2 separate regions of the Mus musculus genome follow, and region 1 is reported to be linked to region 2. Evidence: microRNA targets listed by miRTarBase, many of them from high-throughput screens and not tested one by one. Region 2 holds a microRNA gene; the other region holds the end of a gene's coding sequence.

The links. Region 2 holds the annotated microRNA mmu-miR-3076-5p (CACAGGGGAAGCUCAGUGCCAGCC, at 10,205-10,228, shown strand). A microRNA usually pairs through its seed, bases 2 to 8, with sites in the 3' UTR of a target mRNA and lowers its output. Matches are read on the target gene's strand: a 7mer-m8 pairs with bases 2 to 8, a 7mer-A1 pairs with bases 2 to 7 and ends in A, and an 8mer does both.
Region 1: miRTarBase lists Lgr5 as a target of mmu-miR-3076-5p. Seed matches in the 3' UTR shown: 7mer-m8 at 14,823-14,829.

What each region holds. Positions count from the first base shown.
Region 1 is chr10:115,436,510-115,452,473 of GRCm38, forward strand. Lgr5 (leucine rich repeat containing G protein coupled receptor 5) reads right to left here. Exons shown (of 18, transcript NM_010195.2): 18 at 13,805-15,964. The coding sequence ends at 15,505. Among named protein-coding and RNA genes, the nearest start is that of Zfc3h1, 60 kb to the left of the region's middle.
Region 2 is chr14:30,561,946-30,578,187 of GRCm38, forward strand. Mir3076 (microRNA 3076) reads left to right here and starts at 10,204; the gene lies at 10,204-10,263. It overlaps Tkt (transketolase), which reads left to right. Exons shown (of 14, transcript NM_009388.6): 5 at 3,543-3,734; 6 at 4,997-5,115; 7 at 6,219-6,412; 8 at 7,030-7,194; 9 at 8,011-8,167; 10 at 8,258-8,388; 11 at 9,018-9,101; 12 at 9,207-9,300; 13 at 10,263-10,385; 14 at 11,392-12,779. The coding sequence ends at 11,567.

The DNA.
Region 1 (15,964 bases), not on the chromosome of region 2:
AAGGGTTACATGTCTCTGGAAACATAAACATAAAAAACCAAACCAAACCAACCTGCGATCCATATAGTGCTGTGCTGCTCTCAGGAGGCCGAGGCAGGAGGGTTGTAGGTTCCAGACCATCCGGGATGCATTGTAAGGGCTGTCTCAAAGAGAAGTAACATCCAAAACAGCTTCCTTTGTTTAAATTAATTTTCCACTTGTTAAACATGACAAATAAGACTGGGAATGCTAGAAAGGTCCTCCTGGCGTGCCTTCTGCCTAGAAACTCCACACGAATCTGACTAGAGCCTCGGTAGGGCGAGTGCGACTGGGACCAGCTCTCCTCCTTGCTTTACCCCCCAGCCCCTAATGTGTTGTATAAGTAAAGATGCTAGTTTTGTAATTTCTTAGTACATAAAGCACACAAAGCACGATTTGAATTCCCTGAAAGCCACACATTTATTTTCCATTGAATCTTAGGAGTGACCGTTATTTATCTATGTGGAAGAACTGCCCAGCCTTGTCTTCATTGCTTTTAAATGACTTTTTCATATGACATTTTAGCTCAGTAGCAGGAATACCTGCAGTCAATTGGAAGTTAAATCCAGAGAAAACTGTGAGGCCAGTGTGGCTACAGTGAGTGCTGGGGGTGGGGGGGTGCTCCAAAGACAAAAGGTACAAAATATATAAAAATATACCTCAAGGAACATCTCTAATGAGTTAAGTAAAAAGCTTAATCCAAATATAAAAATTTTCACAGTCATCTTTAAAGAGTCTATACTTCATTTTCCCTTCTAAGTTGGTAATTGGAAAACGTCAAGGCTGATTATCAGGTCAGCTGAACAAAGGTGGCTCTCCACTGCTTGGTCCATTAAACAAGCTGAGTCATGTCCATAGTCTTACCTTGTGAAGATGAAGGCCACAGCTTGGAGTTGCTGAGTGATGGATTACTGTCAGTCTGTCTACATTAGTGGAGATAATCAGGGCATCTGCTGCTAATGCCAAACACCCTCAACTTGGCAAATCATATAGCACATTTAAGGTTTAAGACACTGCCTGGGGAGGGAGTTGGCACTGTATGCTGGCTCAGATGGAGATCCAGAGAAAGCTTGAGGGAACTGAAGGTGTGGAAGCAGTGGAGAAGCTCCTGTCTCGGGGAACCTCAGTGTTAGAGCTGCCATCGGTCAGCGCTGCAGTGACAGCGACTCGAGTGCTGCTTGTTTCTTTATCACACTCATGTCTATAATGTGTGAAAAAGTGTCTACTTACATTAGGGGTGTTCGACATCCACAATGGACGCTATCTTTAAAACACATCTAAACCATAAATAGTATTTTGAATGAGCGGCGACACTATAAAATAACTGTTTGTTTCCCATGAGCATAGTTTCGTTACTCTCACCCAAACATTGCTCAGGTGTGATTGAGTTGCTCTGAGAAATATATCAGAGACCTTGGGGTGTGGGGTACAGCTCAGTGTAGGACGCTTGCCCAGCTTATTTGAAACCCTGGGTTTTATCTCGGCATTGCAAAACTGCAGCTAGGAACCTGCCTGTGCGTGCCATGGTTTCTAACGTGCAAACATCTATTAGTGATGCTTTTTTTTCCCACTTACTTATTCATTCATTCACTGCACATCCCAATCTCTGCTCTCCTCCCCTCCCCTCCCCAGTCCCTTACACAGCTCCCAGCTCCTTATGTGGTCTCCCAACTGGAGCAGGGGCTGTCCGTAAAGCTGTTGACCTGAAGTTTCATCTAAATGCCCATTGTGATGACTAGATTGGTTTCTGTGGTATAATAAAGGATTAAGACCTCTCAATAATGAATTAAGGGTAGCCAACCAAACCATTTTACACTTTTTATTGGCTTTGCCTATGAAAGGCTTGGCAAATTGACCAATTTAAGCTTATCATAAAATGACCTCATCAGGCAAGAAGCTTATATATAGTTTGTATTGAAGGCACACTTAGGAAAAATATCCCCCCCCCCTACAAATTATGACTTCGGCTGTGTCAAACTGGCCTGAAACTGTTCCCAGTGAACTACTAAATATGGTTGGCATGTCTTGTACATGGGTCAGTGGCAAAAAGGCTTCATAATGCCAGAGAGCTGGAGGGGCCTGCTTCTGCTCTCCTTGTTCCATCCTGTGTGAACTCTATTCTCAAAGATTTACCAGATATGGTTGCTATGGTCTTATACATGGGTACACAGCCAAAGGCTGAAATGGGGAATGAAATTAAAGCTTGTGATCCATTCAAGCACCATGAGGCACTACTAGTCCCAACCAAGCTGGGACTTACCTTCCAGGTCCAGAGAGCACTTGACAAAGGTGGGTCTGCTAAACTGCACATCACTGGGAAAATTTGATCCTGATGATTCTAAACTGCTTCCCCTGGCCATCCTATTCTTTTCATTTGACTTAGCAGATTAGAAATCCTGGGGAAGTACAACAAACCTATTTTAAGAACGCTTCCCAGAAGTTTGACACCACTTCCATGTTTTTTCCTGTTACTCAGAAAAAATAAACAAAAAAACCCCACTGGACCACTTCTGTGGGGGGCTGCAGCCCCCCCCCCCTTAAAGGTGCTATGAAGACCACAAAAATGAAAGTAGGAAGAGTACATGCTTGGAGTCCCTACATACCACTGTTACCATGTCACCTTTGAGTAAACAGACTGCAGGGTGACACAAGTGATACTAGCTCTAACAACAGTGAATCACTTAGAACTCTTCTGTTGACAATTTTCTACAATTCTTTAACTTGAAACAACAAAGGTGAAAAGAACACTTGTGGGTTTACCCTGTTCCATATCACAACCCATTTCAATACTGTAATCCCCATTTTACAGCTTGCAAATTGAGTAACAAATTAAATAATCCAAATCACAAGGATAGCACACGAGGAACCTAAGAAAATGACTTTGAATATGCTCCTTTGCATAAAGTCTCCTGTGAACTTGGTCCACCGAGACCCTTGAAGAAATTGAGAAAATTTTTCTTCTTAGCAAGCTAGTGGGCAGTCTAGAATTCTAGTAGCTGCCCCAATACAACAGTGTTAGAGCCTTCTGGGAGAAGAGGAATTGAGAGGTGACACAATTCATGGTGACACTTGAGTTCTCAACCTGAAACACCTACCTTGTTTTTCTTTGTTCTTTTCACACTGCATCCCTTTGATTGAGTCTCTGTGATTCGGTATGGCTTCTGAAAACACAATGGATTAACTTCATTTCGCTAAACAGTTGTGGGACAGCCTGAAGAAAGTAACAGACTGACCGAGGACAGAAAATGGAATATGTACTCACAGCTACACAAAGTGTTTGAAGTAAAAACTACATTGAACTTGGGAACTATGTAAGGGTGGGAAACAAGAGTACTTATTTAGATATGTGAGAGGCCAGGGCTAGAAAGGTACAAACAACGCTTTCATATCGTTCAAGTTCTCTTTAGCTGTCCTTGGATGCCAAGCCTGACTGTGTGACCTTAAGAGATGTGGGGTGGATTTGCTTAAAACTCCAATAGAGGAAGGAAGACCTAAAGACCAAGTAGACAGTGTATTAAGATTTAGTTTGCTGGGCTGGGCATGGTGGTACAGCTTAAATCCCAGCATAGAGGTAGGCAGATCTCTCGAATTTGAGGCCAGTTGGTCTACATGGAGAGAGAGTTCCAGGCCAGCTACATAGTGAGAACCCATCTCAAATAATTATTCTTAAGACTAGAGTGCGGCCTGACAGCCAACGCCCAGGGGCTGCTCTTTGAAAAGTGTTGGAGTGTTTACAGAAACGTGTCTAGGGCTCGCCACCACTATTTCCCAGGCAAGTGATCTTTGGCAAGGTTGACCCCTCTTTCTTCTTTGCCTCCAAAACAAACGTGATAATGAGGTCCATCTTGCAGGCTGTGTCCTAATGAAATGAGGTATCATACATAAAGCAGCTGACACATGAGATCAAACTCACATAATAGCTGTTATGATGGGCTGCCTGTCCTAGACAAACATGCCTGAGGTATATTCAATTAAACAACTACTCAGGATAGAAAGCTGTTCTTCATTCTCTACACTTCTCATCGGATAGATCTGCGTTTGGGTCTTGATCCAGGCTTCTCCAGAATGATCCATTTGGGCACTGGGATAGACCTTTGGCTTATATGGGTTAAAACACTTCCTCCCTTGAACATTTAAACTTATTCTTTACATTTATGTGTGTATATTTAAGCATGTATGCATTTGAATGGAACCCAGACAATTGTGTGTTACCCTCCGAAACACGATTTCCAGGCATCAGACAGTACACACAGAATAACCAACCCATCCAGGGCCCAGGACTTTAAGAAACTTGATTGTTTGTAAAGCTTTTGGCATTTTGTTTATCTGTGATGGGTTCTCACTGAGAAGATCAAACTACCCTCTAATTCAAAGCAATCCTCCTTCCTCAGCCTCCTCAATGCTGAGCTTACAGATGAGAACCATTATGCTCCTTTCTGCTTTTATTTCTTTTCTTTTTTTCTTTTTCTTTTCTTTTTTTTTTTTTTTTTTTTTTTTTTGCCATGTTACTACTTCGTTTTTCTCAGCGTGGTAACATTTAGTCTCCTTCCCCAAACGTCAACAGATGCAGTTTTGCTTCCTGCGTGGTAGTGACAGTCAATATTCAATTCGAACTCTTCTGCTTCCACTCTCGTCCCATCACGATCCTAGTGAGGGAACTCTCGGGAGTGAAGTTCCGTGATTTGAAATTTTAGGAGAACAAACCTAATAGCTCTGATTTAAATCAAGTACACAGGAGACTTGACATGGTCTGTGATCAGAAAGTGTTTGCAAACTATGGGGACATGGACTAGTTCCCATAGCTTTCCCATAGCTTTCCCACTCTTTACAGTTTCTAAAAGTCCTGGGCCCTGGATGGGTTGGTTATTCTGTATGTACTGCCTGATGCCTGGAAATCGTGTTTCTGAGGATAACACACAATTGTCTGGGTTCTACACAAATGCACACACACACACTTAAATATACACAGTGCTTCCAACCTGTCTCCCTTAGTGAGGAGAAAAAAAAATTGTCTTGGAGCAGTGGTTCTCTACCGGAGGGTCAGAGGACTCTGTCACAGGGTCACCTAAGAGCACCCAAACCCATAAATATTGACATGACAATTCCTAATGGTAGCAAAGTTACAGTTATGAAGTAGCAATGAAAATAATTTTATGTTTGGGAGATCCCGACAACACGAGGAACTGTGTCTAAGGGTTGCGGCATTAGGAAGGCCGAGAGGCACTGGTTTAGAGGGTTTGGCCTGATAAAGCAATACCATTGATAGGGAACGGGGATGGGGGTCACAGGGGGAAACTGTCCTTTCCACAGTTCTGGGAGCTGGAAGTTTAAAAAAAACAATTTCAGATCAAAGATTGGATGTCTAGGGAAGGCCTGTGTTGGGGAGAGAGAGACAGGTAGATCCCTGGGACTTGCTGGTCAGTCAGCCATGCCTACATGATAAATTCAAGACTAGTAGAAAGAAAAAAAAAAAAAAGCCCTTGTGCACTCAATCCTGATGAATGAGCTCCATGCAAGACTCATGGTGACAGACAGATGTGACCTTCTCAACGTGTCCTCTCATCTCCACGTGGTAATACATAAATGAATGATATAATTTTTTTTTAAAGAGTGGACAGCACACACACGCCCCATAAGAGACGAGGGAGAATGTAGAGGGGACCACTTAGATCGTTCTGTGGGTAATAGTGACTACCACACAAGCCTGATAATCTGTGTGTGCTTCTCAGAACCCACATAAAGGAGCCAGACGCAGGGCATGCGTATGTAGTCTCAGCATTCCAAAGGCAAGAGGGAGGAGAGTTCAGGAAAGAGGAAGGATGCTCTCAGGAAAGCTAGCCTAGAGTGTAGCGTGCAGCTCAAATACGAGACAGCTTGTCTCAACAAGGTGGCCAGGGAGACGTGATGGAGAAAGGTAGTTTTAGACCTTATATGGGTGTGATGGAGTATGCACGTATGCACACACACAAATTAAAAACTTAAAAAGTGGGCAGAAAGGTGAGAGACGAGGACATTAGGCAGCTGCGGAGGAAATACTTTGTAGCCTCTTGGCTTTGCTCCGTTACCTTTGTTGCTGCTGTTTCTATGATTTTGAGCTATGGCTCTGGTTTCTGACCCTCTTTTCTGCCCTTCTCACCACTGGAGAGAGCCAGCAACAAAAAGAACAGCCTCTAACCCTGCGATTTCCTGCAGTAAGGGAGTTATTACTTTCATCAGGAGTTTGAGGGAAAAGATTAGATGGAGTCAAAGACTGGGAAATGACACGACAGGCCTTGATTCCTGATCCCTGGAATGAAAGTCTACACCTTTCTTCTCTGCTCACACTGGGTAGACTGACTTCCCACTGCTTAGGGCCAAGAGCTGAGTTCTCCAGTTACAGGACGTGGGTTTGATGACTGAATGTTCTGGGTGATCTCGTATGGGTTATGTGAACAAGGGCCATGGCTCCTTGTTCTCTAGACGGATAATTCTCTACGATGCTCTCTGGGTGCTGATAAATGTTGCTCATGTTTTAGTCCTAGATCCTCATCTTTGACCTTAGAAAATAATTTTTCCACTCTTCTCAACCTCTCCTTCTCTTCTTCTCCCTCCTCCTTGGACACTTTGTCTGGATAGTCAGACGTTTCTCCACCTCGCCACATACTACAGACAGGCCTACAGCTCATGAGCCTGCTCCAGGGGTGAGAAGGACAGACAATAGGCAAATAACTGGAGTTATAGCTCAAAATCATAGAAACAGCAGCAATAAAGGTAACAGTCTAACTGCTAGGCTTCCAGGTGGTCGCACACCCCCGTGACACGTTTTCTTCATTGGAAACTCTTAAATGCTTTGCTCATTCTGTAGGGCTGTGGAGGTGATGTGTGTGTGTGTGTGTGTGTGTGTGTGTGTATGGAGAGAGAGAGAGAGAGAGAGAGAGAGAGAGAGAGAGAGAGAGAGAGAGAGAGAGAGACAAGGTACTATTTTCAGGTTATGTGATAAATGTGTAAATACACCGGTTATTACTATTCCCAATTCGATGAGCCTGGAGATATCATTTATGTTTTACTGTGAAGAATTTTGAGGCTGAGAAGAGGTAAATATCAGTGTCCCATACAGAATATTTTGAGTTCGGATGTATCTAGCCATCAAGACTGACTATTTTAGTTGGCCTGACTTGATCTGGTACTAAAGAAGGCATTCAGTGAATTTCAATCATTCGAACCCCTCATTTCTTTTTCCCACCCCCACCCCACGTAGGGTGTTCTCCCTTTTTCTCTTATTCTTATTGGGACATCATTGTCTGTCTCACACTATTGGCACACTGCTCCATTGAGATGCGTTTTGCTTGTCCTTCTCAGAGCACAGGATGTCACACACTCCGTAGTTGGTGCTCCGTGGCACTCCCTCCGGCTCCCTCCGGCTCCCTCCGGCTCCCTCCGGCTCATGGCACTTTCTTGTTTTTAAACCCACTTCTGCATTCAGGGGAACTGAAATGCGATCGTCTTCTCCTTAGGCATCAGGAGCCAGACATGCTGGAGCTTGTGCTTGAGATGAGCAAGTGAGTGGAGAATCTGAGTTCAGCAACTTTAGGAACATAAGGATACTGAATCCAGAATAGTCACAACCTGGCCACTTCACCTGCAAGAGAAAGTGGCCATAATCTAATTGTCCTTTAGGGCCTCTGTGGCCTGACAGAGAAAATGGTCAGTGTTTAGTGGTCTAAGTGGAGATGGTCTCCTTTATATGTAAAATGTATATAATGTGACATTTCCAAGTGTGAAAGAGCTATGGGCATAGGGAGATATCCTCTTTATACAGGACCTGTTCTCATGATGGCTAATGGGTTCTGGGCAACTATCAAAAGAGGTAAGATCTTTCCTTCCTTCCTTCTTCCCTTCCTCCTTCCTTCCCTCTGTTCTCTTTCTCTCTGTCTGTCTCTCTCTTTCTCTCTCTCCCTTCCTTCCTCTCTCTCTCTCTCTCTCTCTCTCTCTTTCTGTCTTTCTTTCGTGTAGAGTTGTTTTTTATTTTTGTTGTCTGCATGTACATACACCATGTGTACACAGTGCCAGAAGAGGGTGTTTCAGATACCCTGGAATTCTAGTTACAAATGGTTGTAAAGTGCCTTATAAATGCTAGAAACCAAACACGGGTGTTCTGAAAAGAAGAGTGAGTGCTCTTAACTGCTGAGCCATCTCTCTCCAGCCTCAGAAGCAGGATATTGTTATATTTTCAAATATTAGATTAGATCTTATCAATCCTAATTTTTTTTTAAATTTATTTTATGGCTACGAGTGCTCTATCTACATGTACACCTGTGTGCCAAAAGAGGGCATCAGATCTCATTCTAGCCAGTTGTGAGCCACCATGTGGTTGCTGGCAATCAAATTCAGCACCCCTGGAAGAGCAGCCAATACTCTTAAGTGCTGAGCCATCTCTGATGCCTCAATAAGTAATTTTTTTTTAAAGGATGATGAGTTTTCTTAATGTAGTTGGTTAAATGCAAAAGCAAAGATGGGTCTGCTTTAAAAATAAAATAATCTGCCTTTTGGGCAAGACCTTTGTGGAGCCCTGCATCTGAAGTAGGGTGCCTGCCACTCACTGCTGCTCTGAGTATCTTAAATTCCTTCATGCTCCGAATAGATGTCGGCTGGTTGACAGTCGCTCCTCTTCATGCTGCTGGATCACAGGTTAAGGGGCTTGTTTTCTAGCTCCAGTAGAACCCTGCACTCCGTTCCCACACAGTATCTGTTGAACGGATAAAGATAGCTTAAAACTATTTATTTTATCTGTTTGTACACAGGTCTGCCTATGTGTGCCTAGGCATGTATGTGTGTCTGCATGCTTCTCTGGGTGTTCATGGAGGTTGGAAGACAGCATCAGGTGCCCTGGAGTGCAGTTACAGGCAGTTGTAAGCCACTCGATGCAAGTGCTGGGTCCTGAACGCTGATGCTCTGCAAGAGAAGCAAGTGTTCTTTCTCTGTTCCACTCGTCCCTGGAAACCCCACCCCATCCCGTGGACCCTCACTGTTGTCCTGACTTCTGTGGGAACTCCAAATTAAACACCCACATGTACGTTTTCCAGTCTGCCATCTACACACGAGAGAAACCATGCAGTGTTTAATCTTTCTGGTCTTGGTCACCTCACTCAGAATGATTGTTTCAAGCTCCATATATTGCCTACAGATTTTATCATTTCATTTTTTTTTTAGCAGCATGTGCGTTGCATCTTTATTATCTATTCTTCTGTTAATGGACATCTAGGCTATTGCATTTTCTGATTCTTGTGAGTTAAGCAGCGTGGACTATGAATGGGCAAGCATATCTGTAGTAGGATATAGAGTCTGTGGGGATTAGGCTCAGGACTGGTACAGCTAGGTTATATAATAGATCTGTTTCTAACTTTCTGAGGAACCTCCATACTGACTCCATATAGCAATGGCTGCCCTGTTATAATCCATAATAGTGAATGCACAAAGTATGTTCCTTTCCCTATCTCTATACCGGCATTAATTGTCACTTTAAAAAATCTTAGCCATTCTGATTGGGATAGGATGAGATCTCAAAGTAGTTTCAATTTGCCTTGATAACTAAGTTTCAGTTGGTGAGGTCCTGTTGGTCAGTTGTTGGCTTTAGTGCCTGTATTCCTGGGGCCCTGTTCAGAAAGGACTTCCCTCTGCTCACAGTTGAGGTTCATCTCCAACCGTCTATCATAGCAGCTCTCAACCTGTGCGTTGCCACCCTCAAAAAACACATTTACATTGTGATTCAGAACAGTAGCAGAATTACAGTTCTGAAGCATCAAAGATCATAATTTTATGACTGGGGGCGCGGGGCGGGGGGAGGCTCCACAAGATGAGGAACTGTGTTAAAGGGTAATAGCATTGAAAACCACTATTTTATCAGATTCAAACCAGCCCTTATACTGAGGTCCTTGATTCATTCTGAGTTGAGTTTTGTGCAGTGTGCAAGATAAGGGTTTAGTTTCATTCTTCTACGTGGAGCTATCTATCCAGTTTGGCTAGCAGTTTGGTTGTCGTTTCTCCAGGGTATATTTTTAGCTTCTTTCTAAAAACCCCACAAAAACAAAAAAATTCAAAGATGAAACAACAAACAAACAAACAAACCCAAATCAAGTGGCCGAAGGAGCGTGGGCTTTTTATGTGGCCCCTCATATCATCGTGCCTGGCTTTATTAAGGATGCCATGCTGTTTTGGTACTGTAGCTCTGCAGTATAGTTTGAAATTAGGGATGGTGAGACCTCCAGCAGCATTTTTATTGTTTAACCATTGTTTTATTTATCCTGAATCTTTCATGTTTCCCTATGAATTTTTTTTATTCCTGTAAAGAATTGTCTTGTAATTTTTGTGGGGATTGCATTAAATTTATAATTAATTTAAATTTAATATATAGGTTGTTTTTGGTAGTCTGCTTCTCCTTATTAGGGAATTGAGAGTTATTATTAAATGATTTATATTAATTCCTGCCATATTTATTGCTTTTGGCCTTTTTTTATTTAGGCCTCTTTTCTTCAGGAAGTGTTTATTCATTCCCTGTAAACTCCTGGGCTTGTTTGTACTTGCTCTCAGACTGAAGGCTTGTTTCTAGTACTCTCCTTAAAGCTGCCTTTGTGTTAAAAAAAAATTCTTAGTAAGAAATCCCACTATGTAGGCCTGGCTGACCTGGGACTTATTATGTAGACCAGGCTATCCTTGAAACCACAGAGATGTGCTGGCCTTCTGCCTCTCATTTGCTGAGATTAAACGTGTGTGTCACAGTGCCCACCTTACCTGGAGGCTTCTCTCTCTCTCTCTCTCTCTCTCTCTCTCTCTCTCTCTCTCTCTCTCTCTTTCTCTCATAAATTTAGTAAATAATTTTGTGGTATATAATAGCCTATATTGGCAGGTTTTGGCCATTCTGAACTTGGAGTATATCTTTTCACACCATTCTGGCTTTAAAAGGTTTTGTCAACTAATCAAGTGTTATTCTGATGGGCTGCCTGTCTTTATAAATGACTTGCGTTTTCAATTTTCCAGCTTTTAATACTCTTTTTAGTCTGTCTTTAATTTTACAAGGAGTTTCTTTCCTGGGTTTGCCTATTTGATGTTCTACAGTTTGATGTTCTACAGGCTTTTTTTTACCAGTAGAATGGTCTTCTACTTCTCCGGGTTCAGGAGAGTTTCTTGTGATTCTGTTGAAGACATTCTCTACTACTTCACTATGATATTGGTTTTTTTCCTATGCCCATAATTCAACAGTTGGGTCTTTTTATGGTGTCCCCAGACTCTCCCATGTTTTGTTCATGTATATATATCTTATCATTGAACTTTACAGCATGGGGCAATTCCCTGTCTTCCAGTCCCAATTCTTTTTTTCAGCAGAATCCACTTTGCAGGTGAGGCTTTCTACGAGCTTTCCTTTCCTTTTCTTTTTCTTTTTTCTTCTTCTTCTTTTTTTTTTTTTTTTTTTTTTTTTTTGGTATTTCAAGACAGGGTTTCTCTGTGTAGCTCTGGCTGTCCTGGAACTCACTTTGTAGACCAGGCTGGCCTCAAACTCAGAAATCCGCCTGCCTCTGCCTCCTGAGTGCTGGGATTAAAGGCGTGGGCCACTATGCCCGGCTTCTACGAGCTTTTCATTTGGTATAATGAGGTTCTCATTTCTAGCATTGCTGCAGTTTGGATTTCTTCAGAAATCCTATCTATTGCATTTTTTCCCCCTTGACTTCTCTTAACTCTCTTAATTTATTCATGTCTTTGCCTTCATTCCAGTGGGGTAAATCCATTTCTTTTGAGTTGTTTGAATGTTTTTATGATCATTCTTTAGAGCCCTTTGGAAGTTCTTCCAGGTCCTTTTGATTAGGTTCCGTTTCCTGTGGGATTACTAATCTGTGGGCACTCACAATGCCTGGTTTTCTCGCTTTTCTCTTTCTGCACAAGGTCTTAGGCAACTAAGACCTTGTTTGTTGGTTGAGATATTTTTCCTTTTGTGTTTTTTATTTTTAAAATTCAGATGCCCGGTTTTCCTTTTATAGTGGTGTTTGCAGTTGTCATGGAGGGCTAAGTAACATTAGGGTTAGGTGTGTTTTCCTTCCGTGGCCCTGGTGGTTAGGGATGGGGGCTCTATCTCAGGTCTTCTAGGACGGTTATGTAGCGACCTGTGTTAGCTTGGGTCTCCTGCCTGGATCTACAGCTGTACTGTGAGTCGTGGAGCAACCCCACGCAGCTGTGGGCCTTTTCCAGAGTTAGAGCCCGTCCCTCCCGTGAGCCCAAAGGTTCTGCTGAGCCTCTGCATGTGGACCTTCAATAGTCCTTACCGATGTCAGCACTGGATCCTGACCTGGGTCTTCTGCTTCTGCTAAAGCCTCTACAAGACGCAGAACCTTCCCTGTACTCCTCGGTCTAAACTAGCGTCAAATCTGGTCCTCATGGTGGGTCCGCTGCTTCTGCTGACGCCCCTGAGGGATGTGGAACTTGTCAAGCGCCAACAGGCTTTACCCCAGTTCAGGACTGGTCGACGCCCTGGATCTATCAAGGTTTTGTTCTGTCTCTGTTTCTGTTTTTGTTTGTTTGTTTTTTTTTTTTTTTAAACTGCTGAGCCATCTCTCCAGCCCCTGAAGGCACTTTGGAAACCATAAATTTAAATCATTTACTTTAGGCAATGGTGGTTAGTTTTCAAATGTTTGTTTTTTTGCTACTGTTTAGCCTATAAATCCTTGTTGTATGTTTTCCCTGCTGTAACGCCAGTTCTTTCTACTTAGTGGAGAGCATTGATCGGGCACTTGAGAGCAGTGCTCTGTGAAGTCTAACTCGTGTTTTCTTAATAAAGTAAAGGAATGCAGGGGTTTGTCGTTGTCGTTGTTGTTTTAAATAAAGGTTGATACAAACCTTTTCCCTTTAAAAAAATCACGTTATTGCCTGTGCTTCCTGGAGCAGGAGAGACAGACACGTTTCTAGAGCATGTTCCAAACTTAGATTGTCCAACAAATAAAGTGTGGTGAGAAGAAAGGTAGAGGTGTGTTCTCTGTAACCTGAGTTGGAAGGGATGGAGCCAAGAGGGAGAAGCTCCTATTTTACCCAAAGATGAATTAAGTACAGACTGCACAGCGGGATCCCGTTAACTAGGGTTGGGATTCAGGATACGGTTAAGTCTGATGGACATGGGGTAGGTAGTGCCAGCAATCCTGGGAGTGTGCTGTGAGCATTGGCTTATAGCAGTCGTGCTGGTCCTCCATCGTATACAGTCCAGGGGGGCACAGGCAGAGCCTTTTGAAGTTGCTAGTCTGACATGGGGTGTCTAGAAAATTATATTTCCTGTGTTTTGGGCAATGGGAACTGAATGGTAGCAGTGCATTTTATTGTATGCTGGGAGTGAATGTTCTTGACATGGTCATGAAATGTGTGTATATCCACTCTAGGATATATGCACATATATCCACTCTAGGATATATACACATGTCCACACCTTAGACAATTTAAGATTGGTTTGCTTTTCATATGTTTTTCTTATTAGGCTTTAAAATGTTTTTTTTTCTTATATTACTAAGAAATTTGAAACTAGTTTGTAGACTATCATATCCAAATCCTCATGGGGGACAACAAATTACACTAAAGCCACAACTTAGGAGTTACAGGGAAGATAATTCAGAAGCTAAAAAATATATTTTGGTTCATTCTCATGAAAAATTTGAGTCCAACATATCTAAAGGATTAGAGCACAAATAGGTAGGAATATATACACCAGTACTTAAAAACATTAGAAGATCGTGCATTTGTCTACATTCTCAATCAATACACTTGAAAGAGCTAGTTTGTTTTGCAAGTCACACATTTTATTACAAATTTATTTTGAGCCCAGTAGAAAAGCAAATTCTGGATCTATTTACAAGCACTACGTATTTACATGTGTTATGTACAGTTAATGCATTGGGGAAATTGGCAGAGAAACAATATGTCTGGGAGAATAGGCTACTGTACATGGTTTATTATCATGTTCTTTAATGTCACTGCATTTTTCCTGTAGCAATAAATACAAGTCTATATGTACACATCTTATAAAACATCTCATAAATGTATTTTTTTTTAAATTCCACATTAAAACATCTGGTCAAAATAAAACATGCTTATATAAAAATAAATCTACCTAATGGCCTTTTGGTTCGGGTGCAGCAAAGCTAATGTAAGATCACAGAAGTTAAGAATAAACCTTTCGCTCTCCAGATTTAACAATTTGTCTTGAAACATCGAACACCTGCGTGAATATGGACTAAGCAGAGAAGTAATGAACTTCATATCAAGTGGTTGATCCGGAAACAAGACACAGCTAAAACCAAGCTAAATGCACCGAATCCTACTTTGCCCAGTTTCTGTTGAGTCCGAAGTGTGGAGAGGCATTGTTGCTCGAGCTACCAGAGATGGGTGTGTGAAGTTACACAGTGGACTTAACGCCCTGCGTTTGAGCACTGAAAATGCACAGCCATTTGAGAGAGTGATGAACATCTTGCCAGAAGCATGCTCCTACTCAGAAATAAATACAGATCCGACAATTTCATACTGTCTTTCGTAGCTATGACCACGGCTGACAACGAACTTTCTGAGCTTCAGACTCCAGGATTTTAAAAGACGAATCAGGATAACCAAATCTTACCTATATATAATTGCTCGAGGAAGATAACCAAATCTTACCTATATATAATTGCTCGAGGAACCATTTAAGTTAATGTTCCAAAAAACCTTGAAACCAGTTTTATCTCAGCAAGGGAGAATGCACTGGATACTTATCTATATAACCCAGTGTCTTTTTGTTGTTGTTGTTGTTGTTGTTTTTTGAGACAGGGGTTTCTCTGTATAGTCCTGGCTGTCCTGGAACTCACTTTGTAGACCAGGCTGGCCTCGAACTCAGAAATCCACCTGCCTCTGCCTCCCAAGTGCTGGGATTAAAGGCGCGCGCCGCCACGCCCGGCTTAGAAGCCAGTATCTTAAATTTATATATGGATTAAAAATGTCAGTCCAAGAAACTGGTGTCTTGGAAGGAGCCTGTCCGTCAAAAGGCAAAAAGACACACAACCATCTCTGTGTAGCCATTAAAACTAAACTCTGTGGGCAACATAGCCCATTAAAGATCCTTTTTTTTTTTTTTCTTAAAACTCTAACCTTTTAAACAAGGAATTTGTGGATTTAAATACACCCATTGAGTCATCCAACGAGTCTTCTCACTATGGGAGACTATGCTGGTGAGTCAGAAGAGACTACAATGCGAAGAGCATTTCAGGCTGCTTTTCTCATCTGGGTTCACCTAAGTGACTTGATGGCTTTCCTTCTTAGCTGAACAAATGATACAAGCGGTGTTTAATGATGCTCTCCTGCTCTAAGGCACCACTGTTTCCACACCAATTTAGAGATGTTTGCTTGGGTTTTAAGGTAGGTTTTTAGCTCAGCTTTTCTTAGCTACTGCTCTGATAGAAATCACTTTTCAGGTTTCCAACTCTTAAAAACGTTCCTCTCTCATAGTCACTAGAGACATGGGACAAATGCAACTGAAGAGAGATGACAGCTTTCAGTCATGGGGTAAGCTGGTGATGCCCCGGAAGTGGAAGGCAAGTCATAGGCTATGCTGGCGTGGGTAAAGGATACTAAGGCTTGGGTTGACTCACAGGACCGTTTCTCAACATCGTCCGAGTTAATGGACAGCAGACTCGCGTGTTTTGATCTCATCCAGAAACGGGTATGCTTTCCCAGGCTGCCCATATCCTCCTTAAAATGGGGATTGAAGACAATGTAGAGAAGTGGGTTGAGACAGGAAGGAAGTGGGACGATCACGAGAAGTATAAATTTAATGACGTCAGGACTGATAAAGGTGAGGTTTAGCAAAGAGGAGAAGGATAAGAAAGCCACGGGGCAGTAAAGGATGCAGTTGGCGAAGAGCAACAGAGCAATGTGCTTCACCATCGAACAATCCCAAAGATTCTCCAGC
Region 2 (16,242 bases):
AAGCCAGTGTAGAGAGAAGGGCTTTAGTTCCCAGAGGCTGTGTTGGCGTAGAGCCAGGCTTGGCTGAGACCTGGGCCCTCAGACAGTACCCAGAGGGTGGGGGGGACTCAGATCGCTTAGGGCACCAAGAGATTATCAGGCCCAGCCAGGCACCCAGCGGTAGCACCCCGATAGAGCTGCGTGGGCTACTGCCGTGGTATCCCTGTAAGGTCTTTTAAAAGTTTTGTTTTTAAGATCATTTATTCATCAATGATAATTTTTTTAAAAAAATTTCTCAGTGTTTTCAAATTCCTAGTATGTTACTCTTTGAAATTCAAGGACAATAAAACATTGTTCCAGGGTTTTCAAAACTACAATACTTTACACACACGTCTAATAGTCTTTGTGACCTATCATTTGCATAGCTAAAATTCTTATTTACAAGGATAAAATACTCTAAGTTTAGTAGCACTTCCAAAAAGACCTGCATCCTAGAGAGCTGTTCAATGAAAAACATAATTTAAAATTCAGATCTCCCAGAAGACAACAGCCCCTCATGGAATGACATGTTGATATTGCCAGTTCAGCACTGAGCAGTCATGAGAGAGAGAGAGAGAGAGAGAGAGGGAGAGAGAGAGAGAGAGAGAGAGAGAGCATGCATATACCTTAGCTCTTCATTTTATTATTTATCTATATTTTGCTAAGTTGCTGTGGCTAACCTTGAATTTCTGATCATCCTGCTTCAGTTTCTTTTCTTAACCCCTTGCCCTAATTTAAATCTAATAATATATTTCTTGCCCTCAAAGTCTTCATAAAAAGGCTTACAAATTTGTAATCCTAATATAAGTTCACATCTTGCTTTTTTTTTTTTTTTTTTTTTTTTTTAAAGATTTATTTATTTATTATATGTAAGTACACTGTAGCTGTCTTCAGATACACCAGAAGAGGGAGTCAGATCTCGTTATGGATGGTTGTGAGCCACCATGTGGTTGCTGGGATTTGAACTCTGGACCTTCGGAAGAGCAGTCGGGTGCTCTAACCCACTGAGCCATCTCACCAGCCCATTTTTTTTTATTTTTTTTGATTTTTCGAGACAGGGTTTCTCTGTATAGCCCTGGCTGTCCTGGAACTCACTTTGTAGACCAGGCTGGCCTCGAACTCAGAGATCCACCTGCCTCTGCCTCCCGAGTGCTGGGATTAAAGGCGTGCGCCACCACGCCCGGCTCTCACATCTTGCTTTTTAACACAGTCTCCCTCCCCTCCCCGGCCCCATTTGCGCATAGCATCCATGGCGAGGTGTGGAAGCCAGAGGTTTACTGGAGAATAATAAGGCATCAGGTGCCATTACCTGCTGAGCCCTAAAACATCTAAACAGTCTTTCATGGGCATTTTCTCAGTGTTTAATGAGCAAAGGAAGTTTTTTGTTTTTTGTTTTTTGTTTTCCTTTGGTTTTTCGAGACAGGGTTTCTCTGTATAGCCCTGGCTGTCCTGGAATTCACTTTGTAGACCAGGCTGCCCTCGAACTCAGAAATCTGGCTGCCTCTGCCTCCCGAGTGCTGGGATTACAGGCGTGCGCCACCATGCCCAGTGAGCCAGGGCTGTTTTAGTGGCTGTATAATGTCCTGTAGACATACTATATTTCGTTTAGCCGTGCCTTCTATGCGAAGTGGTTTCCAGATAGCTCTACTGTGTGAACACTGGCTTTATCTTTATCCGAGCTCATGAATTCATCTTTGCAGCTCCTGACCCTTATTTATTTTTTAGTTTCTCCTCTAATCTAGTAGAGCTTTTATTTCTGCTATCTAAAGAGTAGAGTAGATGGAATTTATCACAATTAACATTAAGCCTGCCTGCTGCCTTTAATCCCTCCATTCAGGCTGCAGAGCAGAGTCAAGGCTACATAGTGAGACTCTGTCTTCACAACAAAAAAAGGAATCACACACATTAGGCAGGCACCTCAACCTGAAACTGTTGTTGGTTTTGGACTGGCCTAAGTTTTTAAGCACATCTTATATCTTTGATTTTTTGGGGGAGGGGGCGCAGGGAAGCTAAGGCCTTGATTATAGTAAGCTAGCAACTCTTCTACTGACTTGTTCCCCAAGCCCCAACATCTTTGAATTTTTTGAACCCTGAGCAAGTCTAGTATTAAGAATTCTGTCATTGGCTGGGTATCTCTAGAGAGCGATACTGATACCTGTATTCAAATGGACAGGACAGGCATCTCCAGCTAGGGTTTCTCTAGACCCCCACATCTATTCAGACTAGCATCTCAGGACCTTAGGGTCCCCCCCTCACGTTAGTCTTCTGACCCTCTGGGGCCAGCCTTGTCCCTAATCTTGACATACAAGACTATGCTGTAACCCCGCTTGGTGCCTGTCTGACTTTCCGGATATGTGTTGAGCATGTGACACAACCATTCATATATCCCCCCCCCCCCAAGAAGCTCTTTGTGGAGGTCAGGATCCCTACATGGCTGCCTCTTTGGCTTCTATCATGGGGAGCTGCTGTGTCAGGCCAGAGCTCCCTTGGGGTTTTGGGGCCCCTGGTAACCTGCAGGGAGAGAAAAGGCAACTTGGGAAAACCAAGTTATAGTCCCTCCTAGCCAGGGTAACCAGTGATCCCATCTAACAAACACCTTACAAGAGAAGCCCCAAGCAGGAAGCATGAAGGGAGTTCTGGCTGCGGAAGTGCTGAGTCATGCTGACAGCTCTGACTGCCTGGCCCTGGGCCTGCAGTCACTTTGAGGGCCTTTCTCAGGAACAGCTAGGGAGTATCTATGTCCTCTGTGAGCCTGGCCAGCCGGAGCCACATGGTTGGACACCAGGCAAGATGTAGGGGTACCCCACCCCCATCCTATCACCCCTCCTGCATGTATTTTAATATAGCAAGGAGATGCCAGTCCAGGATGCAGTAACCTTCAGACAAGTCCTTTGACTGTGGAATGTTTTCTTGGTCTCTGGATTTGGAGAATTCATCTCAAGAATGTCACTGAGTTCAGGGCCCTGCACCAGCTATGGCGCTGCTACCTCACCTCCAGACCCTCACCTCTTCTGGGACTCTCAGAACCAGTCCCCTGGCTCTAGCCCCACCCTTCCATGACAAAACTTGTGTTCTCTGAGTGCCGTGTCCTGATTTCATGCTCGTACCTCGCCGCTATGCTTTGAGAAGACCACACTTGCCTGTATTGAGAGGAAGCCCCACGGGAGAAAGGCCTAGGACAAAGTCCTGGGCTTCAAAGGAGCCTGCCTCTGAGACACCTAGTTCCTATGCCAAGCAATTGTGCCTGTTCTTCCCCTAGGTGGACTGAGCCTGGCTCCCAAGTTCCCCTCCTGCTAGAGGACTTGCCTCTCAAGTCCTTCCGACCATGTCTCCTTAGTTTCCTCTTGTCCCCGTCATCTCTTGTGGGCCAGCCATTAGGATCCTAGTGATACTGATGACCCTTCCAGATCCCTGTTGCCCGCTCTCCATAGGCTGCCTGATAGGTTTTCTGGGAAGGGTGGTATTGAGAGCTTCACACTCCCAGGGGAGAGGGACCAGCCCTACAACCTGCCTTTTGTTCACAGCTACCGAGTCTATTGCATGCTGGGAGACGGGGAGGTCTCCGAGGGCTCCGTCTGGGAGGCCATGGCCTTTGCTGGAATTTACAAGCTGGACAACCTCGTTGCCATTTTTGACATCAACCGCCTGGGCCAGAGCGACCCAGCCCCGCTGCAGCACCAGGTGGACATCTACCAGAAGCGCTGTGAGGCCTTTGGGTACGTACGGATGGCCTGAGAGGGGCTCCTTTAAAGCAAGGGCTCTTTTACATGGTTGTACAGCCTACCACCTAGACACAGTTGTATACAGGCTCCGTAAGTTGACCGTGAGGATGGGACAGGAAACCCATGTGTTTGGGGACCCAAGCCAGCCTGGGGGTTAGGGACAGGCTTCCTCCCCTAGAGACCTGATGTCAGGGCTTTCCTACCTGAGATTTCATTGCAGTGAATTCCAAACCAAGTGCTGCAAAGCAGGGAAGCATGCGCCAGCCTGAAGGCTCCTCACCTCAGCATGGCTCCTCAGCCCCAAAGACGAGATACTCTGGATGGAGCTGGTGGCTCTGAGGGGCCACACTGCCTGAGGGGGATTTAAAGGACAGGGTTTGAGGACTTGGGTGAGCATCATGGCTGCCCTTTGTAATGAATCTTGTTGTGACTGTTGGGGGGTACAGCCATCAAGGTATCTTGACCTTACGAAGGGAAGAGGTGGGGGTTAGGAATATTCTTTCGGTTGTGTAGATAAGGAAATGACTACAACAAGCCTGCAGGGTCTTTTCAAGATCATATGTGGCTGGAAACTTGAGTATAATCCTCTAGGGCCTATGTAAACTTGACCCATGACCTTGGACAAATTATAGTTTCTGTGTGTGTTTCTGAGGATGGGACTGGGGCCTCATGTGTTTGGCAAGTGCTACTACCACTGAGCTACATACATACAATCTTCATTAATATGCCCAAAGGTGATGGCGAGGGCCTAGCTCAATGGTAAAGTTCTTTCCTAGCATGTCCAAGTCCTTGGCTTCGCTCCCCAGCTAGGTGCACAGAGTTGTCCCAGTTCCTTGACATGTGGTGGATAACGTGATTGAGTGTAGAAGAGTTGGCAGCATCTGCGGAGGTCAGGTGTGTCCTCCAAATAAACACTGAGCCAAGCGTTTTGTGAATCTAATAACAAGTGGCTTCCAAACTCAGTGCATTGCCTGCAATATGGCTTAGGAGGAAATGAGTGGATCAGGAGAAAAAAGGCAGCGCATAAGCTAAGCTTTGGGTTGTTTGGAAAGAGGGAAATTAAAACTCAGCAAAGGAAGCAGAGTGTAGATTGGAAACAGTAGTGACTTAGACTTAGCAGCTGGAGTTTGGCAGTGAAATGGTATGCATGTGGTATGGTATGGAGCTCCCAGATGCCGGGCCACATCTTTCCTGGGGGCTTTCCAGGGTTCTCTGGCACCTGGCTGCCCCTTACCCTGTGCTGCCTCTGTCCCCAGCTGGCACACCATCATCGTGGACGGACACAGCGTGGAGGAGCTGTGCAAGGCCTTTGGTCAGGCCAAGCACCAACCAACAGCCATCATTGCCAAGACCTTCAAGGGCCGAGGGATCACAGGTCTGTATGTGAGCTTCCCCAGCCCCACAGCCACCACCCTTGAGCTGGAAAAATGCCTGCTCTTGGCTGCTCCTTAAAGTGACAGGTCTCAACTGAGCCAAATGGACGGACAGAAGTTTCCTGAAGGAAAAACCCCTGTACCCTACCTTAGTGTAGGGTGTCACTTAATGGACTGTCCCTGCCTGCTCTGGCCATCTGCCCTGGGCTGCAGTATAGCATAGCACTGTACAGCCCAGGAGCTCCTGGAAAGACCTGAATTCTCACCAAGGAGGCAGTGCAATGGAGTAGCGTGTGGCAGAGGCCTTCGACAGTCCCTAGATGAGGGTTTCCTGCTTGGGGGTGAAGCAGGCATAGTCCCTATGCAACACCAGGGGTGAATGCCGGATCCCAAGGCCTCCTCATTTAACCCTTGCCTACTTTAAAGATGGAAAAATCAGAGTATACATGATCAGAGACAGTGAGAACTCTCACCTAGTTCAAATAGTTATTTAAAAAAAAAAAAAGACAGAAGATAGGACCAGGAATATGTGGTATATTTTTGTCTGTGTCCCAATACTTTGGTGGTGGAACAGAAGAGAGTTTTAGGCTAACCTGGGCTATGTGAGACTGTGTCTCATAAAGGAAAAACGAGCTGGTACAATGATGTGGTGGGTCAGGGTGTCTGCTTCTAAGCCTGACAGTTTTGAGTTAGTCCCTGCAACCCGTGCAGGTTTGGAGGTAGCTCAGCAGCCTGGAAGGGTTGGTCTGTTCTTGGATCTACTTGGGCAGCAGTGGCATTAAGTGTCCTCAGATAGATAAGCCTCACTGGTCCTCGCATGGTAAAGCTCTGAGAGGACCCGACTCTGCTCACAAATGTGTCAGATAAACTTGGCAGTACTTTCTCTCTCCCTGTGTCTTCTGACAAGGATGTGGAGCCTGGGGTCAGGGCCTGCAGGGACAGTGGCAAAGGGGACCCACATCTGCCTCCACATGGTTCCTCCTCTTCCTGTTTATCTGAGCCGTTTCCCTGAGTGGTGGCCAGAAGTCCTTTGCTGTGACACCACTGTTGCCCTGATTTTCCTCTGTGGGCATTCTTACCTGACCTCCTGTCTCCTGTCCTACAGGGATTGAAGACAAGGAGGCGTGGCACGGGAAGCCCCTCCCCAAAAACATGGCCGAGCAGATTATCCAGGAGATTTACAGCCAGGTTCAGAGCAAAAAGAAGATCCTGGCCACGCCCCCTCAGGAGGATGCCCCATCCGTGGACATTGCTAACATCCGAATGCCTACGCCACCCAGCTACAAAGTGGGGGACAAGGTACCTGGATGGCTCTTTTGTGAATGGACTGGAACCGGGGTGGGCCTACTTGCTTCCTTGGCTTCCCACGGTCTTCGCCAAGATGTGCCTTCTGGGGGCTGTGAGGATGAGTGTGGCCTAAGAGCTCGGGCTCCTTGTCTGCTCCCTGATGGGGGAGTTATGAAGCCTGTAGAGGCTCAGAGAGGCCAGGGGACTTACCTAAGGCTGCACAGTAAGCTTCTAGTTGAAATGATTGTAGAGATCAGGACTTTTTCATAGTCTGGCAAAAGCTAGGCAAAGCTGTCTTGATCGAGGTTTTTCATTGCATAAACCCATCCATGCAGCCTACAGCTGAGCCTTCTGGCTCTTGGGCCCTTGTGCTCCTGTGTGTGTGCAGTTCCTGGCCTCGTTTTCTGTTTCTCTCTTTGTGTTGTTGTTTTTCAGTTCCCTGACGCCTTAAGTTCAGCATGCTCTTGCCTTCGCCTCCCTAGTGCTAGAGTTACAAGCGTGCACTACTCCTGGGTTCCCATTTTTCTCATCCTTCGGAAGCTTCAAAACCCCATAGAGTCAGACAAGACTCTAGACCCCATCCTCGCACATGCCTCAGTGGTCCTCAGAGCCTTTGCTCCTGCCCACAGATAGCCACCCGGAAGGCCTATGGACTGGCCCTCGCTAAGCTGGGCCACGCCAGTGACCGTATCATTGCCCTGGATGGAGACACCAAGAATTCCACCTTCTCGGAGCTCTTCAAAAAGGAGCACCCAGACCGGTTCATTGAGTGCTACATTGCCGAGCAAAACATGGTGGGTGCCTGGGTAGGGTGAAGGACACACAGCCACAGCTGCAGGGCTATCCTGACAGGTAGCAGCAGGCGGAAGCCCTCTTTCTCCCTCGGGCAGCCGTATTGACAGTGCTGAGTGACAGCCGTGGGTCAGCTGAAAGAAAACCACAGAGTAACTAGAACCCACATTGACCTTTGACCTTGGGTAGCCAATTTTGGGGATGATTATTCCCAAGGGAGGAGCTTGTATATAGGACAGATAATGGAGGTAAAGGGGACCTGCTGGTCTATAGAGCCTTTAAAAAAAGGGAGGAGGAGGCTCCTATGTAGCCCAGGACACCCTAGATTTCAGTATGTAGCTAAGGCTAGTTTGAATTCCCGATCCTCCTATGCCCCAAGTTGCTGGGATTATAGATTGCAACCATCCTGGTGTCAAAGGAAACTTGTTGATTTTTGGTCTTTTTTTTTTTTTTTTTTTTTTTTTTTGTTTGGTTTTTCCGAGACAGGGTTTCTCTGTATAGCCCTGGCTGTCCTGGAACTCACTTTGTAGACCAGGCTGGCCTCGAACTCAGAAATCCGCGCCTGCCTCTGCCTCCAGAGTGCTGGGATTAAAGGCGTGCGCCACCATGCCCAGGAAACTGAGTTTAAGAGTTTTGAAATAATCATTTCAAGTCAAAGGAGTTTGGGGCTGGGAAACAGATGACAGAGCCACGGGTACCCAGGCAACTCTCGAGGGTTAGCATACTAGGATCGCAGCCTCTTCTGCCTCCCACATGTGGCCTCGGGAGGGTTCTGGGCTCCCTGTTCTTCAGGGCTAATCTGGCCCTCCTGCCCTCAGGTGAGCATTGCCGTGGGCTGTGCCACACGTGACCGGACAGTGCCCTTCTGCAGTACTTTCGCGGCCTTCTTCACACGGGCCTTCGACCAGATTCGCATGGCCGCCATCTCTGAGAGCAACATCAACCTCTGTGGCTCCCACTGTGGTGTGTCCATTGGTGAGTTCAGACCTGTTGCTAAGCACCAGTGCGTGTGGGAGGGCACGCTGGAAGCTGGAGCCAATCATCAGCCTCTTTTCAATACTCCAGGGGAAGACGGGCCCTCTCAGATGGCCCTCGAAGACCTGGCCATGTTCCGGTCAGTCCCCATGTCCACCGTCTTTTACCCAAGCGATGGAGTTGCAACAGAGAAGGCAGTGGAGTTAGCAGCCAACACAAAGGTTAGTCGTGTGGCTGTTCTTTTGGAAGCTAGCTCTTCCACAGAGGCAGAAGAGGAGGCCAGCGCAAGGTAGAGCTGGTCACTTGCTGCCTAGGGAGGCATTTCCTGGCCATGTCCCTCGTGTGTGTATACCTTAAAGAAACAAGACTGAGAAAATCAAAGCATACCATTCGTCATGCATCATGGCAGACACTGCCAGCTGATGGGCACTCTGCCAGCTTGACCACTGGTGTTTGCCTTCCTTGGGTTGAAGGACAGTAACCCGAGTCTCTGGTCCAGGACAATAACTGACTTGCCTCAGACTGGCATACAGAGTTTCCCGTGTCCCACCCGAGAGCCGGGGCCAGCCTTACCGAGGCATTCTGGGGAGTAGCCCCACTGAGAAGCCAAGCCAGTTTACCTTTTAGAAGTTGCTTCCAGTCTGAGATTAGCCAGGCTGTGGGTGCTTCTTCTCCTGTGTTCAGAGGTACCAGCTACAGGGAACCAGCCCCATCTCTTTGCCATAGCGCCAGGACACAATGACTGTGCCCAGGTTATAATTGACTGACTAAATGAGGCTTGTATCTAGGAAGGGTGGCCCTCTAGAAGACCAAGCTGTCGTGTTTCTCAGTTTATCTGTTCCAATCCCAGGGCATTTGCTTCATCCGGACCAGCCGCCCAGAGAATGCCATTATTTATAGCAACAATGAGGATTTCCAGGTCGGCCAAGCCAAGGTCAGTGCCCTTCGTGTATGAGAACCCGAGGGAGCCACCCACCCTGCTGCTGCTTCTACTCTCAGACCCTGCTCTGGCCCCTCACTGTCCCCATGTCACCCGCAGGTGGTCCTGAAGAGCAAGGATGACCAAGTGACAGTGATCGGGGCTGGTGTAACTCTGCATGAGGCCTTGGCTGCTGCAGAGAGTCTAAAGAAAGGTAAGAAGAAAGGGACCAGGGAGGTCACAGGCTGGTCACACAGAATCTCTAGTTAAGTCATGATGACAATAACTGAAGCCACCCTTTGAGCCATTACGCCATGTCCATGCTATGTTCTAGGACTGGTGACTATCCTCACCTATGATCCCTTTGTATCAGATCGGAGGCCATGGAGCCTGCCAGGAAAACTGAAGTCACAGCTCAGCCGGTCACTAGTTAAATGACTTATTCACCGTCTTTGTGTCTCCGATTCCCCACGTGTAAACTGGCACTTAGCCTTTATGACTGTCCCAAGGCCTTAGGTGTGCCTTGGCATTCATACTGTTATTATTACTATAAGTATAATGTTGTTAGCTAGTGATACCGTAGGGACAGAGCGTCAGCCTCGTCCTCTCAGTGAGATCGCCAGACACGTCACATCTCAAGCTTGTGAGCACCAGGAAGCAAAAGGTGGTCCCTTGGTTGGGTGACCTGAGTGGCCTGTGCAATGTGGGGGTGAACAGGACTGAGGCTGTAGCAAGCTGGGCCTGAGAGGTCAAGAAAGCTCCACCCAGACAGGGTGTCTAGGCAGCTGGGTGTGGTGAGGTGGCTTTTATTCTGAGAAAGTCACTCTGGCTACAGCTCTTCTCCCCACTATCCCAAAAACCTTTATGTTAGATCAGATATCTGAAGTCTTCCTTTTATCTTCAAAGGCATAGGAGGATAAGAGCCCCATAGTCTGCTCTAACAGTCGGTCCACAGGGCACCCAGCTGACCACTATCTCTCCCAAACAGGAGAGAATAGGGAGAAGAGCTATTCTCAATGGTGAGAGTAAGTGGACAGACAGCTAGCCACCAAAGAGTAGTTCTTCTTAGGCCCAAGACGCCCCATTCGGGATAAGGGGCCATTGGAGTTCTGTTCTAACACAGGGGAAGCTCAGTGCCAGCCTTTCTCTTAGCCGCACTCTGGTCTTCCCTTGCAGATAAGATCAGCATCCGGGTGCTGGATCCCTTCACTATCAAGCCCCTGGACAGGAAACTCATCCTAGACTCTGCCCGAGCAACCAAAGGCAGGATCCTCACCGTGGAGGACCACTACTACGAAGGTAACTGGGGCTGCACCAGCCTGGCGAGGGAAGGCCAGAGAGAGCAGTAGGGGAGGCAAGAGGTAGACACCACTTTAAGTTCCTCTGAGGACAGTCCGCCTTTGCCACTCACGGCCTGGCAGGGGCTCGGGGAGTAGAGCCAGCCGGCAAATGGGTTAGCTGGATCCCTATACCAAAGCCTAAAGCCTCAGAAGAGGCCAGGTCTCAGCTATACTGATGAAGGCTCTGGGTTTTCTGGCCACAGCTGAACTCCTGGGCCTCGTATCAAGGAGGTAAGATGGCTGGACAGGAACAAACAGGAAAGACAGTACCGAGTGTCTTCTTGAGTCCTCTATAAGTGCATGCCTGTTCTTACAGGAGCCTCTGAGGAGAGACGAGCTGAGACTCTAAGGTCAAATGCACAACTTGTGGGAGTCAAGCTGACCCCCAGCTGTACCATATGTGTGCACACACATACTAGATAAAGAAGTGTTTAAAGTATTAACTCAAGGAGCAGGGAAGACCCGGCAGTCACATAGCCTTCGAAAGCATCTATAGGTCCCCAGTGTCCTCTCCTGGCCTCTGAGGGCGTGGAGCAAGCATGTGGCTCACAGACATGCAGGAAAAACACTCGGTACACGTTTAAAAACAATTTTTTTTTAATTACATAAAGCTAAATGTTGAGGCTAAATCCCAGGACTCAGAAGGTGAAGACAGGTGAATCTCTGAATTCAAGACCACCTTGAGCTACATAGGGAGTTCTAGGCCAGTCAAAGCTACAAACAAATAGATGTAGGGCTCTGATGGTAGAGTCCTTGCCTTGTGTGCATGAAGCCCTAGGTTCAATCCCCAGCACTGTGTAAAATCAGGCAAGTGGCAAAGAAAAAGTGACAAAAAGAAAGTGCACATCTGGACTTAGAATAAATCATGGGAACCCTGGTGGATTAGTGATGTCTGCTCCGGCAAGGGCTGTGTCTTTGTCATCTCTGGCTCAGGACTAAGACCTCTCTGACTTTCCTCTGCACAGGTGGCATAGGAGAGGCAGTGTCTGCTGCCGTAGTGGGTGAACCTGGAGTGACGGTCACTCGCCTGGCTGTCAGCCAAGTACCACGAAGTGGCAAGCCAGCTGAGCTACTGAAGATGTTCGGTATTGACAAGGACGCCATTGTGCAAGCTGTGAAAGGCCTTGTCACCAAGGGCTAGGGAGGGCATGGGATGCTGGGTGGGTGAACTACACATTCCAGGGAGGTTCTGGCAGAGGTGGCGAAGGTGTACTGAGTGGGGAGGTAAATATATGTTTTGAGAAAAAAATTAATCCTCAGACTCTTTTTTTTTTCCTGTGATATAAACATATCCAGTGCCAGTATGAGAAGGAGACTGGGGAGAGAGGGAGAGAGCTGGCTCTCTAGGCTTGGGGTCAGGATCTAGGTGTCCCCTGGATCTAGGTGTCCCCTGGAATCCCCTTCTCCAGTTCAGCCTCTGCAAAGCCACAACTGCTCCCACCAAGTCATAACTGGGGACACTCATTGCAGCCTGCCTTTTAGCCAAACTAGGATCCAGCCCCTTCCTTTGCCAGTGTACCCTAAATGACACCATGGAGTTCCCTCCTGCCTTATAAAACCTTCCTGGGCCCTCCATAGCTGCACCATGGCCCCCAAGGTCCCACAACTCCTCCTTTTATGGGTGGTCACTGCTGTTTCCTAGGAATTCCGCAGTGCCCTTAGGGAGGATGGGGCCCATTTGTTGAGCTATGTGCATGTTTGCCCTTTGTCGACAAACTGCTCAGCTAGCGAGTTGCCTGGCCCGATCCTTCCATGCCAGGGAACTGTATGGTACCAACTCCAGAAACAGCAGAGCAGGTAGGTTGTCTCAGGGAGATGACAGAGACTCCTCAGTGGGTGATCTTAGGGCACACCCTGGGAGGCCTTGAGCTCCGCATGTCAGGAACTCTCCTTCACTGAGAAAAGAAGGCAAGCCATCTCCCTGTCAGGACAATTGAGGAACTTCTCAGCCACGAGTTTTGAGTCTGGACATAACTACAATATGTTATGTAGTTCTGAACAAAAACAGTAAAGCTTGGGTGCTTGGTCACCACCTGGTGGCCATTTATGGTACTACAGTGCTAAGCACACCCCTACAGAGGAATCTGAGGAAGGAGACTAGGGATGGTGTTTTCTGAACTCTGTAAAGCTCACAGCAGGTGGAGGTGACAGTGACATTACTGAACTTTGTATGCATTTTACTTAATCCTTACTACAAGAAACCACTTTAGAAGGCATTCCACTTGGCTGAGTGCTAAGGATTGGTCTATGTATTGCAATGCTAAATTCTGTACCCAAAAGTCTACAGGCTTTTATTGTGCAAACCTTCTTCCTTAATTTAAAACTATTGTTTAAATAAAATGGCTACAGTCAATTACTGGAGGATTAGAGGTAGGTGGGATTGGGAGTTGAGGTGGTGGGGGGAATGGACCTTGAGCACATGGCCAAGAGAAACTGGCAAGTGTCTGGGGCACACGGCTGGGGAGGTAGCCAGGCCAGCAGTTAGGAAAGTAGATTAGGGGTTACCCCCCAGTAATGGTCAAATAAAATAACCATTCATTTATAACCTACACGGAGATGAGCTTAAGTTGGCTTAACTACAGCCCAGTATGCAGAGTAAAGGACTGCACCTCGGGTTTTTGTGGCTACCATTTTTGTCCTTGTGGCCTCCTTAAAGGGGATGCTATGTAGTCAACCATATGTAAAAGTCCTTGTCCTGTAGGACGATGGAAGGTGCCTGCAGCTTAGTGCCCTTTGTGTCAGCAAAACTGCTGTTCTCCCTAGAGGTTATAGGCTCATGAAAAGATGTTTCCAGAAGAAAATGGGACAAGTACTCCCAACCGTAGCACCGGAGAGGGTCTGCTGCACCCACCTGCTGCTGCTTGTCTGTGGGCCCAGGGATGTGCAAGGCTGAGTGAGGGGTGAGGGATAAGAACTAGAAATGCCAGTGCCTGAGCTGGTGCGGTGCTCTGAGGATTTCACAGGTGCCTGGGCCAGGCAGCAGAATTGTACATAGATGGCTTCAAGGAGCCTGTATGAGGTTCCTAACATGGCAAGAGGTAGGGGTCTGGGGAACATGTGACTTCCAGAGCAGAGATGGGGAAGGTGGCTTCTCTCACCTTCAGGCTCTCCACGGCCTGCACTCTCTTGAGGAGATGGTTAAAGCTTAAGCAGGCAGCCAGATAGATGCCTGGGGAGTAAACGGGCAGAGGTGCTCCTGAGGCACAGTCACCTAAACTCACTCAGTCTACAACATCAAACACCTGGCATTTAGGGAGCCAGGAACTCTGAGGAGTAGGTGAAGCTGCTGTGGGTTTGGTTTGGTTTGGTTTGGTTTGGTTTGGTTTGGTTTGGTTTGGTTTGGTCTGGGGTTTTAGTGAGAAGCCTTCTAGAGTGTGCTGGAATCCCAAATGCCTAGGCCTCAGGAACCTGAGGAAGCCTTTACTTCTTCCTCAGCCCTTGGGACGGTGAGAAGACCGCCATGAGCACCTGAGGCTTCCTTGTAGCTCCTGGGCCTGGTCAGGGCCAAGGCTCAAGGCTGCACAAAGGTAGGACTTTCCCTGGGCCAGCGAGAGCCTCCTGTAGCCGGCTGAAGCAAGCAAGGTCTCCTGTCACTCACACCACGTGGGCACTGGGACATGGTAACAGGAAGAAAGTGCCTTGCTCATTTCTCAGTCTTCAGCTGCATAGGTGGCAGGGCTGGGGAGCCTCGCAAACCTTCCAGATCACAACTGTAAAGGAGCAGCTCTCTCCAGTCCTGCCTCCAGTCCTGCCTCCATCCTCCTGCACTGTGGAGGAAGAGTCCTCTCCCCAGCCTCCTGTGCCTCATCCGTTGAATGGGAATAAAGGCAGCTCCCTTGGGCTGCCGGGAGGATGAACTATGATACATTCCACAATACCATCAGTACACTGTCCGGTAAGGGCTCAGAGATGTTGCTTTTCAGAGCAGTTCATTCAGGGCAAGCAAGTAGCCTTTAGCACCAGGTTTCCGGTGACTACAGACATGGGGCTGCCTACAGTTAACAGTGAGTCAGGCCCAGAACTCAGGAAGCTGCCCGGCATACTTAGCTGTTAGACTTTAAGATGACTGTTATTAACATTGCCCTGTCAAGTTTACTGAGATCCATGCTGTACAGTTCACCCTTTCAAAATAAAAGTCAATGGTGTTTTAGTAGACTCACCAAGCTGTGCGACATATTATCACCCCTGAAGAGGGAACATGCGCCTTTTATCCACCATCCCCCTGGCTGCCATCCACATTTCTGGCTCCAAGGCTGGGGTGACATCCATCCTCACCTCTCCCAAGCACCCCTTCCTTCCTGGGTGTGTGCACGTGGGAGGAATCTGGACCTCTGCCCCTCGAGTCCTCCCTTTGAGAGTGGGAAAAGGTGAAAGCCATAGCGGTCTCTGGATGAGAATCCCGAAATCAAGCCCCTCGGGCAGGGGGCTGGGATTTATTGACATGTGGATTTGCAGTATTAGTCACAGAAAATAAGTTAAGTATAAAATACAGGCAGGAGTGTTAGCCACAATGCCAGGGACTCCGGTGGAGTCAGCTTAACAGATGAAAGTCTGAAAGCTTTCTCATGAGAAAAAAGTTTCAAGGAAACTTTCTCCCGGATCTTTGGCTATTTCCCTAACCCATAAAATTAATTTTCCAAATCCACTTTAGTCTAGTGTATGGATCCACGTGCACTCTATATAGCTTTACCTTATAGTAAATGCCTTTTAAGATTGTATTCTAACATAGCTAAAGCCTTTTCCCAGTGTTCTTAGACTCCAGATAGCAGCAAGGAGCTTTACCCATTCAGTAAACAATTAAGCACTTGCCATTTTACTCAGCAGTTTACAGATAGAGACTAAAATTCTCACTGAGATAGAAATTCTTATTACAGACTACATTCCATGCCAAGAGCAAATTAGTATACTATACTGAAATTAGACAGTCTTCAGATATTGATAAGAATTAACGAGGCCTAGAGAATTTTGGGGTCAGTGACACTACATTATTCTTGAGGCGTGTCAAGAGTTAACTACCCTGAGGCAATTAACTCTAAGTGTAAAACTCTTGCCTGGCAGAAAGTGCTAATCTCTAATGTAAACATTTATCTGGTCCCTACAAATTCCCTTTGTAGTCACTCCCCTTGCTTCTGTGCTTATCTCTGGTGGTGATATACATTTATCTGGTTCCTTTTGAAGTCACTCCTTTTGCACCTGGAATAATTCAATGTGCCTTGTTCTGCAATTTATTCTGTATTATAAAAGTCTGATGCTCGACTGGTAAATTACATTCAGATCCAACACCACTCGTGTGTCTGGCTGTTTGTCCCATCCTAATCTCTGCCCATCTACTCTAGAGACTCTTTCCTACGCAGGCAGAAGGGACCAGAGGGCCTGCGGCACCACAAGGTTTCTCCAGCCCACGTGGTGGCTCAGTAGACGCCCTCAAGCCAGGCTTCTTGACCCTCTGTATGGTGCAGAAACAGGAACTCACCCACAGGCATCTGAGTGCCGATTGGAGGAGGCCCTGCAGCACGGACATAGGCTAAGTCGTCACTGCCTTGGGGTGCATGAGCCCTTTGGTCCAATTGACAAGGCAGGAAAACTTTGTCCCAGGAGCTGTCCCTCAAGAGCCCAAGCCTGACACAGGAGAGAGACATTCCCAGCCCCCTGGACTGGGACTAACAATGTCCGGAAGTACAGAGGAGTCCAAAGCTATAGGAATGTCTTGTCTTGGGCTCCAGCTGCATAGTAAAACACAACGGAGGGGTTGGAGAGATGGCTCAGTTAAGGGCACTGGCAGCTCTTAAAGAGAACCTGGGCTCAATTTCCCAGAA